Linked DNA regions of Notamacropus eugenii. The protein of the gene in region 1 purifies or fractionates together with the protein of each later gene. This does not show direct contact. Links are inferred from orthologs where the notes say so. Each region holds a gene or a part of one and is shown on either strand. Other genes may lie near its edges. The genes, in order: LUZP1 and DAPK3.

Evidence for each region.
Region 2: the proteins of LUZP1 (region 1) and DAPK3 purify together in Homo sapiens (affinity purification with mass spectrometry; 3 studies listed by BioGRID and IntAct, with this or other methods). This does not show direct contact. The link is inferred for Notamacropus eugenii from reciprocal best matches to the Homo sapiens genes LUZP1 and DAPK3.

Annotation. Positions count from the first base shown.
Region 1 is NC_092876.1:63,560,242-63,569,118, reverse strand, and holds the start of LUZP1 (leucine zipper protein 1), read left to right. Parts: upstream 1-4,858; 5' UTR 4,859-4,966; intron 4,967-8,877.
Region 2 is NC_092875.1:71,133,126-71,142,002, reverse strand, and holds the start of DAPK3 (death-associated protein kinase 3), read left to right. Parts: upstream 1-3,550; 5' UTR 3,551-3,699; intron 3,700-4,082; 5' UTR 4,083-4,183; coding exon 4,184-4,245; intron 4,246-6,174; coding exon 6,175-6,535; intron 6,536-7,190; coding exon 7,191-7,320; intron 7,321-7,702; coding exon 7,703-7,751; intron 7,752-8,751; coding exon 8,752-8,778; intron 8,779-8,877. Other genes in the region: EEF2 (elongation factor 2), read left to right, coding at 27-159, 490-683. UniProt on the Homo sapiens protein: Serine/threonine kinase which is involved in the regulation of apoptosis, autophagy, transcription, translation and actin cytoskeleton reorganization. Involved in the regulation of smooth muscle contraction.

The DNA.
Region 1 (8,877 bases):
CCTCTCTGCTCACGGCCTGGGATTTTGGTGCAGTCCTATTAGTATTTCATGAAAGTGACTGCCTCCTTGAAGCATGTGAGTGCAGAGGAGAGACAGAATGGCAGAGCTTAGAATGCTGTATCATAGAACGTCAGGCTGGAAGGAACCTTAGAATACAGAATATCAGAGAATTAGAACAACACGGAATGTAGGAGCTGGGAGGGGCCTTAGAACATAGAAAGTCAGAGCTGGAGGACCCTCAGAACACAGGATGTCAGAGCTGGGAGGGTCCTTAGAACACAGGATGTCAGAGCTGGGAGGGGTCTCAGAACACAGAATGTCAGAGAAAGGAGGGCCCTTAGAACACAAAGTCAGAACTGGGGGGGTTGGGGGGGGGGCTTAGGACACAGGATGTTAGAGCTGGGAGAACATAGAATGTCATTCATATTATGTTAGAGGAGAAGAGACCTTTGACCATACAAGAAAATATAATGCAATTCAATATAACACAACACAATACATATTTATTAAATACCCATTTTTTGTTGTTGTGTCTGACTCTTTGTGACCCCACTTGGGATTTTCTTGGATACTGGTGTTGTTTGCCATTTCCTTCTCCAGATCATTTTAGGAATTGAGGTAAATGGGTTAAGTGACTTGCCTAGGATCACACAGCTAGGAAGTGTCTGAGGTTGGATTTGAAATCAGGAAGGATTTTGACTCCAGACTAGCACTTTGTACACTATGCCACCCAGTTGCCCCAAGTACCCATTAGGTACATTTATTAAATTCTCATTAGGGTGTGGTGTAGGTCATATTGTAGTTAGTATAGTAAATAGAAAGCTGGCCTTAGAGAATCATGAAGAGAAGGGTTCATGTCTCTTCCTGACACATATTATGTGACCTTGGATAAATCACTTAACTACTCAGAGGCAATTTTAAACTAAATATACATGGCAGTGGTAATGCTTGGTAGTATTTAACCAGAAGCTTTTTCTACACTGATGAAATAGGTCAAAAGTGAAAAATTTACTGGTCTTAGTGCTAAGGACATATGGACAAATACTAAAATGGTTCCTTTCTTTAAGTAACATACCAGTAGCATAAGGAAATTTACCACAGACTTACAGGGGATTGTAACATATACATAGATAAGTAAATATTAGACTGTTTGGGATAGGAACACTTGTTCCTATAACACTTGGGACTATCAAGGGAGGCTTCCCTGAATGGAGGTAGAGATGAGAAGGGAATGTGTTCAGGTCCACAGGAGGACCACTGTCCAAGATATGGAGATGGAGGATGAAATGTCAATTTCAGGCAAAGAGCTAGAACATTGGTTGTTAGAGCTAAATAGGGCTTTAGAACACAGAATTTGAAGAGTAGAAAGGAATCTTGAGATCATTTAGCTGCACCCCTTCTTTTTATATCATCAGAAGGGTGGAATAATTTTGCAAATTAGTGGCAAAGACAGAAACTTGGGTCTTTTGACTCAATCCAGTGTTTTTCCCCTTACATCCTGTTGCCTATCAAAGAAGACAAGGAAGTTTTTGGGGAAAGGGGTATTACTACTGGGGACCAGTGGTATCCCCAAAGAATTGTGATGTGGGCAAACCACACTGTGTGTCACAGAATACTGCCAAGATTACAGATAAATAAAATTGTAATGCTTATGAGTAACTTGGGTGTCTGGATGGTGTTTCTTGGCACTTCTTATAGTGGTGAGGTGATTAGTGAGGAGAGAAGAAATAGAAGATGTGTGGTATTGTTCAATAAAAAGAGTCCCACACTGCAAAACTTAGGTTCAAATCCTGACTGTCGTTAACTCACGAGTGACCTTGGATAAGACATTTCATTTCTCTAGGATTCAGTTTCCTCATCTGTAAAAAGGAGGGTTGGACTATAAAATCTGATACACGTCTCCCAACTCATGAAATTCGTGTTCCAGTGTCTTCTCCTGCTTTGACATTCAGTATGCTGACGTTCTGTTCTAACAATCTGTGTGCTGAAGTCCCGTCCAGCTCTGGCATTCTATATTCTGATGTTTCTTCCATCTTGGGTCTATATGGGGGTGACTATATTTTACTTTTTCTTTCTGCTTTAAAAGAGGACAGAGTGATGTAGTAGAAAGAATGCTGATCTTGGAGTCAAGGAGGGCCCCAGGAGGGCCTGGGTTTTAATCCTGTCTTTGACATTTAGTAGTTTTTTTGTTTTTCAGTCATCTCAGCCTCTTTGTGAATCCAACTGGGGTTTTCTTGGCAGAGGTACTGGAGTGGTTTGCCATTTTCTTCTCCAGTTCATTTTACACATGAAGAAATTTAAGTATACAGGGTGAAGTGACTTGTCCAAAGTCACAAGCCTAGTGTCTGAGGCCAAATTTGAACTTAGGTCTTCCTGACTCCACTGTACCACCTAGATCCCCATTTATTAGCTACTAAATGTATAGGTTGAAGCTCAGAGGGGTTAAGTGACCACAGGCAAATCAACTTAATCTTTCTGATCTCCAGTTTTCTCATTTCTAAAATGGGGATAATCCTTGCCCTCCCTACTTGATACGGCTGTTGTGAGAAAAATGTTTTGCAAACCATAAAATGGTAGAGAAATACAAGTTATTATTAAGATTCCATGCTCTCAATCTCCTTTCTAACTCTGAAATTTAATATTATGAGTGTTGATCTCCAGTACAATTTTGAGAAGGGATCAAATACGATTGGGAGTCTTGGGTGCCCTCCCCTTGTACTTTGTACATCACAATGGGTCCTTTCCAACTCTGACATTGTGAACATTTTAGTACTTCTAAGATTCTAGGAATCAGTATTTATTGGGTTGAATTGAATGACAGACACATGTCGCGCCAGATGGAATTGGAAACTGCAACTCAATAATCCAAGGTCTTACAAAAACTTGGCTAGAAACCTGCTCCCTCTCTGTGATGCCACTGAATAAGTACTAATCCTGATTAGTCCCTAACAGAGATCTCCAGGGTCTGGAGCAGGGGTTGACACATAGCAGGCCTTGTCTTGGCACATAGTAAGCCCTCCCAATAATGCCTACATGCATTCATTAATTTATTAATTCATTCACTGAAAGCTCTCACCTCTCTTTTAAGGTAAGAGTAATTCTCAGACTTCAGGCATTGTGGAATGATCTCCCCCAATACTAGTTACTTTTGTTTCAGGCGTCTGTGTTCATCCCTGCCCTAGCTTCTCCCAGGGGGCAATCATTTTTGTCCATGGGGACCTGGGAAGCTGTCCCAAAGACAGGATCCCAAAGACTTCCCTTTCTTCTTGAAGTCCAGCAGGTCCATGGATGCCCACTGCAGTTCTGGTGGAGGACTGCAGAAGATGCTACGTGCGATTTAAAACATTTTTTTTTTTTTTTGAGAAAGAGGCACGAGTTGTCCACAGGCACCAGGCAGAAATGGGTCAACTTTGCGGCATAGAGCTAACAGGGAGGATCCTGCAGCAGCCACTTACTGACAGGTGTTTGCAGGGATGGAAAAATACTGACCATGAGAATGGGCCATCATCAGTTAACAGTCAGTCAACTATTCTGTTGATGAAACACGTAAAAATTGCTTTCTATGAGCAAAGCAAAAAAGAGGCTGAGAGTCGGGAAAAACTGGGTCCCAGAACTGCCTCGGACCCAAATTGTCTGGGTGACCCTGGGCAATCCATTTAACACCCCTCCCCCACCCCTACTTTAGAGGGCCTCCCCTCTCATGCTGTCTAAAACCATAAACTGCAGACACTGGTGGATAAGCAGGAGTAAAGGGAGTTTTCCCCACTTGGTGTCTCTAAACCAATGAAATCACAGATCTTGACCAAAGGAAAAAAAAAATAATGTGCAAAGTACTCAGGGGGGTCAGATAGCTCCCAGGGCTCGAAGTTTAGCGGAAAAAAAAAAAAAAGGACTTGAAATATTTCGGATGTAGTGGAAAGAGCACAGATTGGAGTTAGAAGACGCCGGTTCGAATCTCATCAAGCTTCCGATTCCTCACCAGGAAAAGGACGGGGCTGGGCTAGATAGCCTTCCAAGTCAAGTCAACGAGTATTTATTGAGCCCCTACTAAGTGCCAGGCACTGATACAAAGAAAGGCTGCTTTCACGGAGCTTCCAGTCTCATGGGGGAAACGACCTAACAACTACGTACAAACAATGTATACAGGCTGTCCCAAAAGTCTTGGTGCAGTTTTAAATTATTGGACCTTCCCAGAAAAGAGACTGATAGAAAGGAGACTCGAATGAGAAACCCGCAGGTGAAAAGCTTAATATCTACAGGATAAACCTATGATCCTATGACATTGATTAGCTGCGTGACCTTGGGCAAGTCATTTAGTCTCTTGGTGCCTCAGTTTCCCCACCTGTAATATGGGGCCAGGGTCTTTGAAGCTGCTAATCTAAGATTCTAAGACGTCCGGTGGCGAGCGCTGTACCTCTCTGGTCTTCAGTTTCCTACTACAGGGAATGAGGGGGTTGGGCTAGAAGCGCTCGGAGGTGCCCGGTTTAGCTCTGAATTCCGCAGCCAATCCCAGGGCTCCCGCACTTCCCTCCCTCCCTCCGCGCTCCTTCTCCCCGCGCAGCCCAGGTGCTTACCTATGGGTGGCGGGAGTGACTGTTTCACTGGACTACACCTAAGTCCAGACTTGCCCTGGGGGGGAGGGGTGGATAAGCCTAGGGGGGAGGGGAAGGGTGGTGGGAGGAGGGAGGAGAGGTGAGGAGCTATGGAGGGGGAGTCCTGGAGGGGGAGTCCTGGAGGGGAGGAAGGAGAAGAGGGGCAGGGGGAAGGGGACCTCCTCCTCCTCCTCCCTCTGCTCCCCTCCCCCTCCCCCTGGGCCCGCCCCCGGCCCGGCGCTGACGTCAGCTGCGGCCCGCCCCTCATTGTCAGTCCCGTGGAGCTAGAGCTGCCGGCCGCCCGGAGGAGCCCAGCGCGGGGAGCCTCCGCAGCGCGGGCGGGCCGGGCCGGGGCCGGGGCCGCAGCCGCCCAGGTGAGAACGGGGCCCCGGGGAGGGCGCGGGAGCCCGAGGCAGGGACCTCCGACCGGGCCGGGCAGCCCGGGACCCGGGGATCTAGCCCGGGAAGAAGGAGCCCGGGCGGGCGCGTGGGGCACTCGCGGAGGGCGCCGAGCCTCCCTGGCCGCCGGGCTGCGCCACCTGGGCCGGAGCTCGGGCTGACAGTGCGGGCGGGTGAGTGAGGGGCGAGAGCCCCCCGGAGCCGTGCGGGGAGGGGGCGTCCGGGGGGCGCAAGCGTGTGAGTGACAGGCTGCGGGGGTGGAAGGGGCCGACGTGGTGGGCTTGATCATCCCGGGAAAGAGACTGATTGCGAGGAGACTCCAAGGAGAAATCTGGAGAAGGTGAAAAGCCGAGGAGGGCTGGGGGAGGGGGAGAATCCGAGGGGAGGAGGGGAGGTGCGGAGGTGAGGAGAGGACAGTCTGAGATGGAGGCAGAGAACCTGAGCGGAGAAGTGAGGAGGGGGCAATCTGAGAACTTAGGAGAGGTGAGGAGGGGAGAATCAGTGGAGAGAGAGGTCCGTCTGGGCGGGGAGTAAAAATCAGGAGAATGAGTGGAAGGTGGGAGTGGGAATCCAGGGAATCCAGGGGCTTGGGGCGGGAAAAGGAAGCCTAAAGGATTTGAGGGCGCGGTGGTGGTGGGGTCCCCCATCGTGTATGGGGGGAAGGCTGTACGAGGAGGAGGGAGAACCCCGAGAGGAAGGAAGTGATCATACAGGAAAAGCCCGGGAGATCGAGGAGGGGAGGGCAGAGTTTGGGAATGGGGAAAGGACAGGAACAGGAATTGGGGGTGGGAAGGAGGCCTGGCGGGTCCGAAGAGAATCCCTACTCCCCGCCCTGGGAGGGGTGAGGGGAGGTCAGAGGGAAAGGAAAGGAAGGGAAGGGAGTGGAGAGGAGAGAAGAAGAGAGGAGAGGAGAAGAGTGCAGTTGAGTTGAGTTCTGTGGCTGGAGCAGCAGCAGCTGTCTGCCCTGCCCGCTGTCCCAGGCGATGCTGGTTTTCGGCTTAGACCAATGGGCTGAGAAGGAATTTGAGGCATTTGCTTTGTTTAAGTTGCCAGTAGACAGTCCTTAAAACTAATTAATTGTGGAATCTGAAAGGAAATGCGGGGAGAGCTCGGGGAAGGGGCTAATTACCAAGCCGGGCGCCTGGGGAGGAGGCCGTGCCTTCCTTGGGGGAGCACCGCCCCCTCCCCCCCACCCCCCAGCCCCAAGTCACATTAAACTTTTCCGCAGAGTGTGCGGCTTGTCTGCCTGCCTCCTTCCTTCCCTCCTTCCCTCCCTCGGCTTCCCAGAGGAGATCTGTGCCGATCTCCCCACAGAAACCCAGAGGAGAATCCTGGCTTCCAGAAGTACTGCCATGAACTGTGGTTTTGAGAGTGAGTGTCCTTTTCCAGAGAAGGGAGGGCGTCTTCAGGGAGTCTCATGTCCTTGGGAGTGAGTATTCCAGGTCATGGGCCCCTCTTAACAGTCGCTCTGGTATCTTGCGGTCCCGGTTAATGGCTTGAGTATGCAAGCCAAGGAGGATCGGCTAGCCCTGGAGCCTTTCTTCCTCACGTCAGACCCTTTCCCGATGCCCCGGGAGCAGCGTTACGTATTGTCTCAGCAATGCCGGAGCCGGTTCTCACACTCTGGGGGTAGACACCCCCAAAGAGGAAGCGTCCTAGACTAGGGACTAGATACACTGACCTACCATGCTAGTCCCACCTCCCCTGACTCACTCGGTGACCTTGGGGGAAGGGACTTGTGCTGTCTTATCTGACAATTGAGGATGATACTCCCAGGTCCTCCCAGCCTCGTGGGGATGTTATGAGGGGCGGTGTCTCTCTGAGGTACATTTCTTTTACCAACTGACTGCTGCTCAGTTCTAATTAGCTGGCCTGGTATGAGAACTGAGGACTTCAAGTCCTCCTATGAGTTGTCTCTACCATCTGACAACAGCGGACCATCGAGTAGAGATTTTAGATCTGCTAGGAACCTTTGAGATCATGTAATCTCACTCTTTCATTTTTTGTTGTTCAATCCGTTCGGGTCCTGCCCAGCTCTCTCCCTGGCCCCATTTGGGATTTTCTTGGCAAAGATACTGGTTTTGCCATTTCCTTCTCCAGCTCATTTTACAGATGAGGAAACCGAGGCAAACAGGGTTGAGTGACTTGCCCAGGGTCACACAGCTAGGAAGTGTCTGAAAGGGCATTTGAACTAAGGTCTTCCTCACTCCAGGCCACCAAGCTGGCCCTCTCATTTTACAGAAAGGGAAACTGAGGTCCTGGGGGAAAGGAAGTGACTTACCCAGGGTCACACAGCTAATGTCAGAAGTTGAAACCCTACCTCTGACAGATCCAGTGCTCTTTTCACTGCACTATTTTCTGTGGGAGAATATGAGCTGTCATACTTTGCAAACACACCTTTCCATCACCCCTTTGCTGGAGTGGAGTGTTTTGAATGGCTAAGTGAAGTAACCAAGTAGAAAATTCTTCTGTCAGAAATAATTATTTTGGTTAGAATTTCCCCTCAGGGCAGATATGTTTTTGATCACTTTGTTTTGTGGAATTTTCCAAGTTTCTAAAATTAAACTATTTTCCTAAACATTGTAAGAAAATCTATTTGAGCAAACTGAGAGTAGTTTGTTGGGGGAGGGGTCGGTGGGAAGTTGGGGGCATGAGTAAACCAGCAGAAATCTAAGTGTTCTGGATTGTTTCAATTTCTCAAATACTTTGCACTTTTCTTATTTGTATATTTGTATATATGTCTGATCAACCCTACTAAGTTGTTTGAAGATAGGGTGCATGTTCTTATCATATCCTCCTCCCCAGTGACTAATATATTACACATAGTAGGCACTTAGCAAATATTTATTAAATAAAAGCATGAGCAGTTTTCTTAGAATTAGAGGATGTTAGAGCTGTCAAGGACCTTAGAAGGAAGGAGGAAGTAAACATTTCTTAAATACTTTGGTCATGTAATGAAAAGATGAGACTCATTGGAAAAGACCCTGATGTTGGGAAAGATTGACGGCAAAAGGAAAATGGGACAAAAGAGGAGGAGATGAATAGTGTCATGGATACAATAAACATTAGTTTTGACAGTCTTTGGGAGATAATGGAGAACAGAAGGGACTCTTTACTGTGGTCCACGGGATCATGAAGAATCAGACAGGACTGAATGACTGAACAACCTATGCCGGGTGCTGTGTTAATTGCTTTTACAGATATTATCTCGTTTGATCCAAGAGATTATCTAGTTCCGCATTATTGTTTTACAGATGAGGAAACTGAGGCCTATGGACTTGAATTGACTTGCCCAAGGTCACACAGATTTCACCCTACTTCTGACTCCAGGGTTTTTTTTTCCCCTGATACACTTAAGCTTTATTATTTTGACTGAGCTTTCTTTAGTTCTTAGAAGTTAACTTTTCCCCATTATTTTGACCTAACTGAAAAAACACTCTCTGGAAATAAAGCGACCTGGATTCTAGTGCTAGCTTTGATGTGGAGAAACTCTGTGAACCAAGGCTGTCACTTAAGTCACTCTTTAGAAAAGGGGGATACAGACGCATACCATTGTTTCATGGTAGTGTTGCCAGAATCCACAAAACAAGAGTTTATTAGGTTGTTGCTATGTGTTGGTGTCATAGATTTAGGTCTGGAAGTGATTTTAGAGGATCTATGCAGAGTACCACAAGAAAAACCTGCCCCCACTGAACTGACATCCTACTAGGGGAAATCTACCAGAAAATGTTTTTTTGTTTTGTTTTTTTTTGTTGAGGGCTTGATGGTTTTGAGTTTGGGGCCTTATAGGCAACATAGAAATTGATGGTGGTACATAGTAGGCACTTTTTATAATGACTGGTGATGCTGGTGGTATTCCTCAGACGAAAATGTTGAGAGCTGGAGA
Region 2 (8,877 bases), on another chromosome or scaffold:
GTTAACTTTTTAAAAATTCCATTTAGTGTCCAGAACAAGTGGTTGGGGGCATTTATGGTGTCCTGAACAGGAAGCGAGGGCATGTGTTTGAGGAATCCCAGGTTGCTGGCACCCCCATGTTTGTTGTGAAAGCCTATCTGCCTGTCAATGAATCTTTTGGTAAGTACTTAGAGTAATAAGACCTTTCAATAAAGAAGGCATACTAACTTGTGTTTCAGACTTTAGTTCTGTGGCCTTGATCTTATTTTCTTTTCTCATTGGTGCTTGTGAAGATCAAATGAGTTTTGATGATTGTGGAAAGTAGTATACAGTGGTTTATAGACGATGTTGGTTAGGTCATTGTAACGAAAACTTACTTTAGAAAAATTTTTGGTGGGGGAGATACTTTTCAGTGTTGCAGATCGGTCATTTTTATGTTTAAGGTGATGTTGGTACTTTTCGTTTGAATTTTAAACTTTTCCCTTTCTTATCCTTTCCCTTCTCGTCTAGGCTTCACAGCTGACTTGAGGTCTAATACAGGTGGCCAAGCCTTCCCTCAATGTGTATTTGACCATTGGCAGATCCTGCCTGGAGACCCCTTTGACAACACTAGCCGCCCTTGCCAAGTTGTGGCAGAGACCCGCAAACGCAAAGGGCTGAAGGAAGGTATCCCAGCCCTGGACAACTTCCTGGACAAATTGTAAAAGCTCTTTCCAACATCAGTTCAGACTCCTGTTGGACTCTAGCATAACACCAATGCAGCAAATTGTTAAAACTGCAATGACATCTCTTTGCATATACTTAATCAGTTCATAGCAACTTGAGACTTTCAAAACACATTGATATTCAGCCTTATAGGTTTCTGTGTTGCACATGACACATTTGGGGCCCACTCGGTGCCATAACTTGAAACATTTCCACTTGATGCAACTTGAGTTGCCTGTTTCCATATTTATTCAAGTCTTCAAAGAGGTAGAAAAAGTGTCCTCTTTGCAGGGTATATTTGGCCAAGGGGGGGTGGGTTGGGATAGGTAATGTTTTTTTCATTTTTCAAAGGGAAACATAGTGCCCCCCCAAATTTCAAGAGTGCATTAAGAGGTTTTGCTTGGGTAAATGGCCTGTAGTGGATCTTCAGGAATGGTGAGGGGAATGTTAAGGAGATATTTTCTAGTTGGCCAGAAACTAGAAGGCAAGAAAATTTTGTGCAGTGTGATTGTCATCATGAACATCTACAGATGTATTAGTGCCATTGGAATAATAAATTTGATATGGTGATGAATATCAATAACAGTGTTGAAGTGATTCATTCCAGGTATGGGGTTGTCTTTTACTTCTGGGTACCACTCTTCATGTGGTTTCTCAGCAAGTTAACTTAGGATCCAGTTAATTACCAAGTGCTTTTTTCCTGCATTTAGATTTCAACAACTCATTTGGTAGTGATTTTGAACCATACAAGCTCAACATTTGGTTAATGGGCATTTATTGAAAACCTAAGTATTGGAGAAATAACTGCATTTACTGCTGGGGATTATGAATGGATTTTTTTTTTTTTTTTGGTGCTAAAGTAAAGTCCATCCTTGGCATATGTGGTTTGATTGTATTTGTGTGAAACATCCAAAATATGATCAGCCCAGGTTTGCTGTCCTCCACAGATTATATATTTTACTTCCCATGATACATTCTCCCAGAATCTTAACAGTATTTGGCTTTCCTTGCTGCAATTTGAGATTGTGGCCTGGATAAATCTGTAATACACTGGAATATGAACTGGTAGCTGAAATTGTCTTACTCTGTAAGAATGGTAGCTAGAGATCCTTGCTGTTGCATTCCTGAAGTGGTAAGGGTGTTTTGAATGTGGAGTAGCACTTAGAAAGGGGGTTCAGCCAGAAAGTTGACTTGGCTGCAAAAGAGGGAACAATTAGTTTCCCTCAGGAGAAAAAGCTAGGATCTGTAGAAGGCCTCAGCTGCTTTAGACTTAGCTCTTGGACATCGTTTTCTAAAAGAGTTTTTACTCAGCTTTCACAGGTTTGCTAAAATGCCCGTTGTACCCCATGTGTGATTTGCTTCAAGTGCATTTAACTAAATGAAAAGAATGCCTTAAAAGCCCAGTTCAGTCCTTTACATTTCAAACATTGCTAAAACTAGTACTTCAGATTTTCTTGTTAAGAGTTTGGAAGATCACAATGCAATAAGTATTTTGAGCTGTGACTAAAACTTAATTCTGGTGATATTTATACAAGCCTTTGGGTGGTGCATATACTATCGAACTACTGGGAAAGGGAAATGTGGAGGCAATTGTATGACATTCTGAGTTTGTAAACTTGATTGTACTTGACAACTTGAAATTATTTAATATGCCAGGATGAGATGAGAGTAGCTGTTGTCTGCTTGTATTATCTCCGTGATAATCTCATGGGATCCTTTCTCTACTCACATCGCCATCCTACTTACACATTCACTTTCTCACGTGGACTGCAGTAGACTGAATTTCCCTGAAATTCCTGAAGCGCACATCTGACCAAGAACTACGTGAACTCTACCCTGAACTCTAGCACCAATCAATCAACATTTCCAGCTTCAAACATTCCCTACGTTTTGTGGTCCAAATTCTGCCTAGCTGTGTGTCCCAGTTTGCCTCCGTTTCCTTTTCTGTAAAGTGAGCCGGAGAAGGAAATGGCAAACCCCTCCAGGATCTTTGCCGAGAAAGTCCCATTTGGGATGTTGAGGAGTCAGACTCGACTCAACAGAGCGACACGCTGCCGCATTAAAGGGACGTGGCTCAGTCCAACTAAACTGCACGCATGAAGTGTACACGCAGGTGTAACAGTCGTGGTGACAGCCGCAGCTGGAGCATCAGCGAGGTCCGATCTGAACTCGGGTCGTGCTGACTCCAGGCCCAGCGCTGTACCCGCTACACCACTACCGTCCAGTCTGAGGGTGCCCGCCTCTGGCCGGTCGCCATCTCCCCCACGGTCTCCGAGGGCCTTCAGCTCTGGCTCTAAACCGCTGGGTTGGGACGCCTGGGAATCTTCCCCAGTCACTTCCCCACCCTGGTCTTCATAAGGGCGAGAAACAAAGCTTTTCAAGGTCGCTTGATCTGAGTTTTCTAACTCTCCATAAAATCCTCTCAAGACAAAGCACTTAGAGAAACGCCCGCCAGCCATTACGTAGAAAAACTGCACGGGCCTGCACGGAGGAGAGAAGGAAAACAAACCCCAGCTTTTGGAGCCAAAGCCCCGGCTCCGCACTCGTAGGGAGAACTAGGAACCGGAAACTAGTCTTTCTTCCTCCGCCTCTCTAACTTGCACCGGCAAGAGCCAATCAGTTTCTTTTCCAACACGGCCTTGTCCCGCCCTTCTTCCCCTCCGCCCTCTAGGGCCAAGCAACTCAGAGACCAACAGCGGAGGCCCCTCCTCCCTCCCCTCCCCCCCGCCCGGCTCTCGTGGGCGGGGCTTTCTCGCAAAAGTTTCTCGGGCCTGGTTGGCAGGGGAGAGAGGGAAAGAGAATGACAGCGCGCTGTGGGCGGGGGAACGTCGGAGCGCGATGACGTTACCGAGACGGGACAGAGGATAGGCCAATGGGGGCCGGCGCGGTGACGACAGAGCATGTCGGAATGCTGCGGCGGCGCTGACCGGGTGCTGAGGTAAGCGCCGGGGCTGGCTGCAGTCTCGCCTTCCCTTCTTAGACCCTTGACGGGACGCCGGCGGCGCGGGGCCTGAGGTAGGAGGCGGGGGAGGCCTGCGGGCCGGGGAGGGCAGTGCGGGGACCGTTGTGTCGTTTGGGGGAGGTCCCCGCGGGGGTCACCGAGGGGCTCGGAGGAGAATGGAGGTGAGGGGGCCTCGGCGGGGCGCGGGGCCCGAAGCTGAGCCGGGCGGGCAGGCCTTGGAGGAGCAGGCCAGGCCGGGGAGGGGAGACGGGATGGGTGGAAGGCTGTCCTTGGCCCCGGGTTGTCGTGGAGCGTTTAAGGGGTGAGGGATTGAGGGGACTGTCCTGGCCGGGCGTGGGTGCCAGGGAGGGTTGGGGGGAGGGACGTACAGCATCCCCAGCCCCTCTAGCCCCACCCCGTTAGGCTCCTAACTCCTGGAAGGCTTGTCCTCCTTTAGGCCGCTCTGCCCGGTGCTGCAGCCCGTCTCTCCCAGGCCTGCTTTGTCCTCCTTGTCCTCCTGCGGCCGTTTGCGCGTCTTTTGGAGGCTGGCCTGCAGCCATGTCCACGTTCAGGCAGGAGGATGTGGAAGACCACTATGAGATGGGCGAGGAGCTGGGCAGGTAAGAGTCTAGGGCAGGGAGAGAGGGCTGATAATGGGGGAGAGCGAGCAAACATGAAAGTGGACTTCTGCTTCCTTCTCCTCATTCAGGGAGACGGGTTAACAGATGACAGGTTAATGTTACCTTTTATCCTTTGTCATAGAAAGACTAAGGAAGTTTGAAAAAAGTTGAGTTTCTTGTGCCATTGTCACCAATTCCAGCTGCTTTCATTTTTTTTTTTTGTGAGAAAAGTTTAAATCCCCTGACTCAACAAAGTAGATAATTTCCTGTAAATCTGTATACTTGGTTAGTCCTAAAGTCTCCACTCTCCCACGGAGCCTCAAACCTTATATGGTGAGTTTTGTTCAGCCATCTCTCTCCTAGTGCCGCCTATAGGCCAATCCGATGATGTCACCAGATAAAAATGTAAATAACTGAGTATTGTATGTGGGTTCGGCTGAAAAGAGTTTCTTCCCACCGCATGGGCCTCTTTGTTCCTTTAAAATCATACTCTGCTTTTGGAATTTCCTCAAGTTGAGGCATGTAGGTTAGTAGGATGAAAGTAACAAGGTAATTCTTATAATAGTAGCTCACATTAAGTAGGACTTTAAGGTTTATAAAACACCTTCCTTACAATAAATAGCCTTAGAAAGTAGGTAGTGTCTAATCTGTAATGAGAAGACTGAAACTTAGAAAAATGAAGTGACTTGCCTATGGTTACATTTTTTTAGAACTGAGATTTGAACTCAAATTACTTAATACTATGTTGCCTGATTTTTTTGGATTTCTCACGTAGCTGAGGAATATTGAGCACTTACTGTGAGCTCAACTTTGTGCTTTTTTGTTGGAGATATAGGAGGAGTGTAAGGTGTAATTCTGGACCTTGTGGCTGCTAAATACTTGCTGGCTGGCTTAATGGGGTTTGTTTTTAAAGTATAACTGGAAAGACAAACGTTAAAGGAAACAACAGAAATGAATGAGAATTTGTGTGGTACCAACTCTCAGGAAAATAGAGGAGTTTGGAGAAGGGAAAGAGAATGGTTTAGCATGATCAGGATAGACTTCTTGGAGGAGATGGGATTTTATTGAGGCCTTAAAGAATGGGTAGGTAGGCTTTGGAGAGGTAGAAGAGTGAGTGGGGCATTCCATGTGGGGGTTGAGGAAGAACCGAGGCTAAGAGTCTGGAATGAGCTTGGTGTCGTCAGTGTAGTAATGAGAAAGACTTGACTGAGTGGGTAGTTGCTGTTGGTAAGGGCAATAAAGCTGGGGTTTTTTTTTCAGGGAAGTTAGATAACAATAGATAGGTAGATCAGGGCCTGATTAAGAAATACTTTGCACTCCTGTTCTTTTATGACTTCTGCTTTATGTTTTTTTGATTTGCATAGTTTTTTTATTACCTATTTTCTTACCTGGAAGGTCATCCAACTGCGTTTCTTTCCACTTTCTGGCTATACTGCCTCATAAACACCAGTTGGGAAATTAAGGGAACAATATCCAACCCTCTATATATACTACCCAAAGGAAATCTGGTGACAGTGTATGAATGTGTTCTGAGTATGAGGACATCTGAACCTAATCCTATAGAATCATTATTTTCAGGGACCAACCCAAAATTGGCTTATTCAAGCCCTTTTCCCATAGCTGAGTTATGCTATCATAGGCCTATCTTAGTTCTGGCAGCTGCTGTTTTCATTCTTTCCTAGAGTTAGTAGCCTTCCACACCTTATTGGAGATTGTATCTCTGGAAGAATCCCAGCTATCTGCAGGTGTCTTGGGTGCTTTGTCCATTGTTGTGGGAGAAACATTTATGGAGTCTGAACACAAGTCTTCTCACCTGAGACATCTAGGAGGAATAAAGAAGGCTACCTCTGCTTTTCTAAGAGCTTTTCTCTTTTCTCTCTTTCCCTTCATATTTTCCCTTATCTTGCATCTTCCCTGAACTCTGTACAGTGGGCAGTTTGCAATTGTGCGGAAATGCCGTCAGAAGAGTAATGGGATGGAGTATGCAGCCAAGTTCATCAAGAAGAGGCGATTGTCATCGAGTCGTCGGGGGGTGAGCCGGGAGGAGATAGAGAGGGAGGTGGACATTCTTCGGGAGATCCAGCACCCTAACATCATTACCCTCCATGACATCTTTGAGAACAAGACAGATGTAGTGCTGATCTTGGAGCTGGTTTCTGGGGGTGAGCTCTTTGATTTCTTGGCTGAGAAGGAGTCTCTAACTGAGGAAGAGGCGACCCAGTTTCTTAAGCAGATCCTTGATGGTGTCCATTATCTGCACTCCAAGCGGATTGCCCACTTTGACTTAAAGGTGAGCCCTGCTTTCCTGCCTTACCTTTCCTTGGACTTTTAAAGGGATAGAGAACAGCCTTCTCTGGCCATTCTGTTCTTTCTTGAACTTGGTGTAAAGAAGGCCTTGGTTTGAATACTGCCTCTGCACGTAGAAGCTGTGTGACTCTGGGTAAGTCACTTAACCTCTCAGCCTCAGTTTCCTCATTTGTAAGAGGAATGGGTTGAACTCGATGGCCCCTAAGGTCTAAACACTTAAGTCTGTAATCATATGATCCTCTTGTTTCTGGCCCTGAGAATTCTGGCCAGTTCTAGAAATGATGCTTTGCCCAGTATTCTTGCTTCTTCAGCCCCTTCCTTGTTTCCTTTTATGGAGAGGAGTTAATTTGAGTATTTAAGCCCCTATTTGTTGTTCCATTTTTCTGCTTTTCTTTCATCTTGGGCTTTGGGCCTTTCTAGTTTGTTGCTTTTTGTAAAACTGTTCAAATGCAGTTTTTTCTTTTCTGCAACAGCTGCCATTCAGTTCTTGGTCTGTTCTGGGAGGGTTAGATGGCTTTCTAACATAAGCTCATGATTTTTTTTCTAATTTGGAGCATATTTGACAATAATTGTTGCACTAGATTTATCCTTAAACCCTACAAAGGATTTAAACCCTGATTTTCTTCCCTTTCTTACAGCCAGAGAACATCATGCTTCTGGATAAGAATGTGCCCAACCCTCGAATCAAGCTAATTGATTTTGGCATTGCCCACAAAATTGAGGCAGGGAATGAATTCAAGAACATCTTTGGAACCCCGGAGTTCGTAGGTAAGTGGCCATACTATGTAGTAGAGGTGATAGGGTCCTGAGTTCTGGGAAGAGGACTATGTTGAACATTTAAGGACTCCCAGTTGAATAAGTTGCTTTTTCTGGCAAAGGGAGAGGCTAAGAATGCTGGCTGCAGCATCTCTTACAACCCAAGTATGCCTGGCTTTCCTTACCACAAAGCCTTCTGGATTGCAACCACCTATTTCTCTGTTTGTCACGTTATCCTCTCTTTTGGGCATATAGAAACTCAAGTGCCCAAATTGTGTCTTGTTAGGTCAGTGCCCAAACTGACTTAACATTGTTTCATGTTAGGATATTTATACTAGAGTTGATCTTTTACAAAGTAGGACTGATCCAACTTCTCTTCCTATCTCTCCTAAAGCTCCTGAGATTGTGAACTATGAGCCCCTGGGTCTGGAGGCAGATATGTGGTGAGTGAGAGGAGGTGATGTGTTAGGCTCCCCTGATAACCTTCAGTTCCCCAGCAGTTTGGCTAGGATTCAGTTTCCCAATGGAAAAATATCTGAAATTATTGTTTCTCTTAGTATGACAGGTGAGGCAGCTTTTTTTTAATATAGTGTCTCTCATTCCTTTTTACACACATCTCTTAAAGGAATGGGAATGATCAGACCAGTCCCTACCTCTAACAGCCTTATGAGGCTCAAGGCTAAGGCAGGGAAACAGATTGACTTGTTCCTATGACTTCTTCCCTCACTTGAAACATTAAAACCCAGTGGTAGGGATGGGATGTAGGTCTGCCATTGATCTTTTGCTCTCTTCTCCCTCCTTCTTCCTTTCTCCAGCTAGTCTCCCTGATTTAATGCATCATGTTTCCTAGAAGGAGCCTATATTTAGTCCACTATACAGGGAGCTGTCTTTTGGCCATCTCAGTCTGGGACTAGAGACTGGTGAATGCTTCATGGCATTACCTGGCTTCTTGAGCTCTGCTTTGGTCCTCAGAGTATGGAGATGATTTTTAGGCAAACTGGTACATGAACCTACAGTATTAGCAATCAAGAGCCATCATGGAGTTGATATGATCCAATTTCCTCACTTTACAAGGAGGGAAAATTAAGGTCCAAGGAGGGGAAGGTTTTTGGCCAAGTGTATAAGGGCATACTTGCCTATGTCTCCTAGTCTCTGAAATCCTAGGAATTCTAGTGAGGTTTATCAACCTTATATCCTTGCCATCTTCCAAAAGTCTCCTTTCTGTAGTCTTCTCTGCTTTTAAACTTTTGCCTTGATCATGGCAAGTCCAGAGTGGGGTTGCCACTCTTTGTATCCAGAAATGCTCTGGATAGAGCTGTGTTGAAGAAAAAGCATAGGCTTTGCCCCTTCTGTGGGCCTCATTATTTCTTCTTAGTAACTCACTGGAGTTATAGAATAACGTTCCATAGTGACCCTATTCCTTTCTTCTCTTTCCTTTCTCAGGAGCATTGGAGTGATCACATACATTCTGTGAGTATTTTCATGTTTAATTCTTCTTGCAAATGTCTCTGGTTAGGAGAGGATATCAATGGCATGTCAATTCATTCTCCAACAAGCAATTTTTGAGCA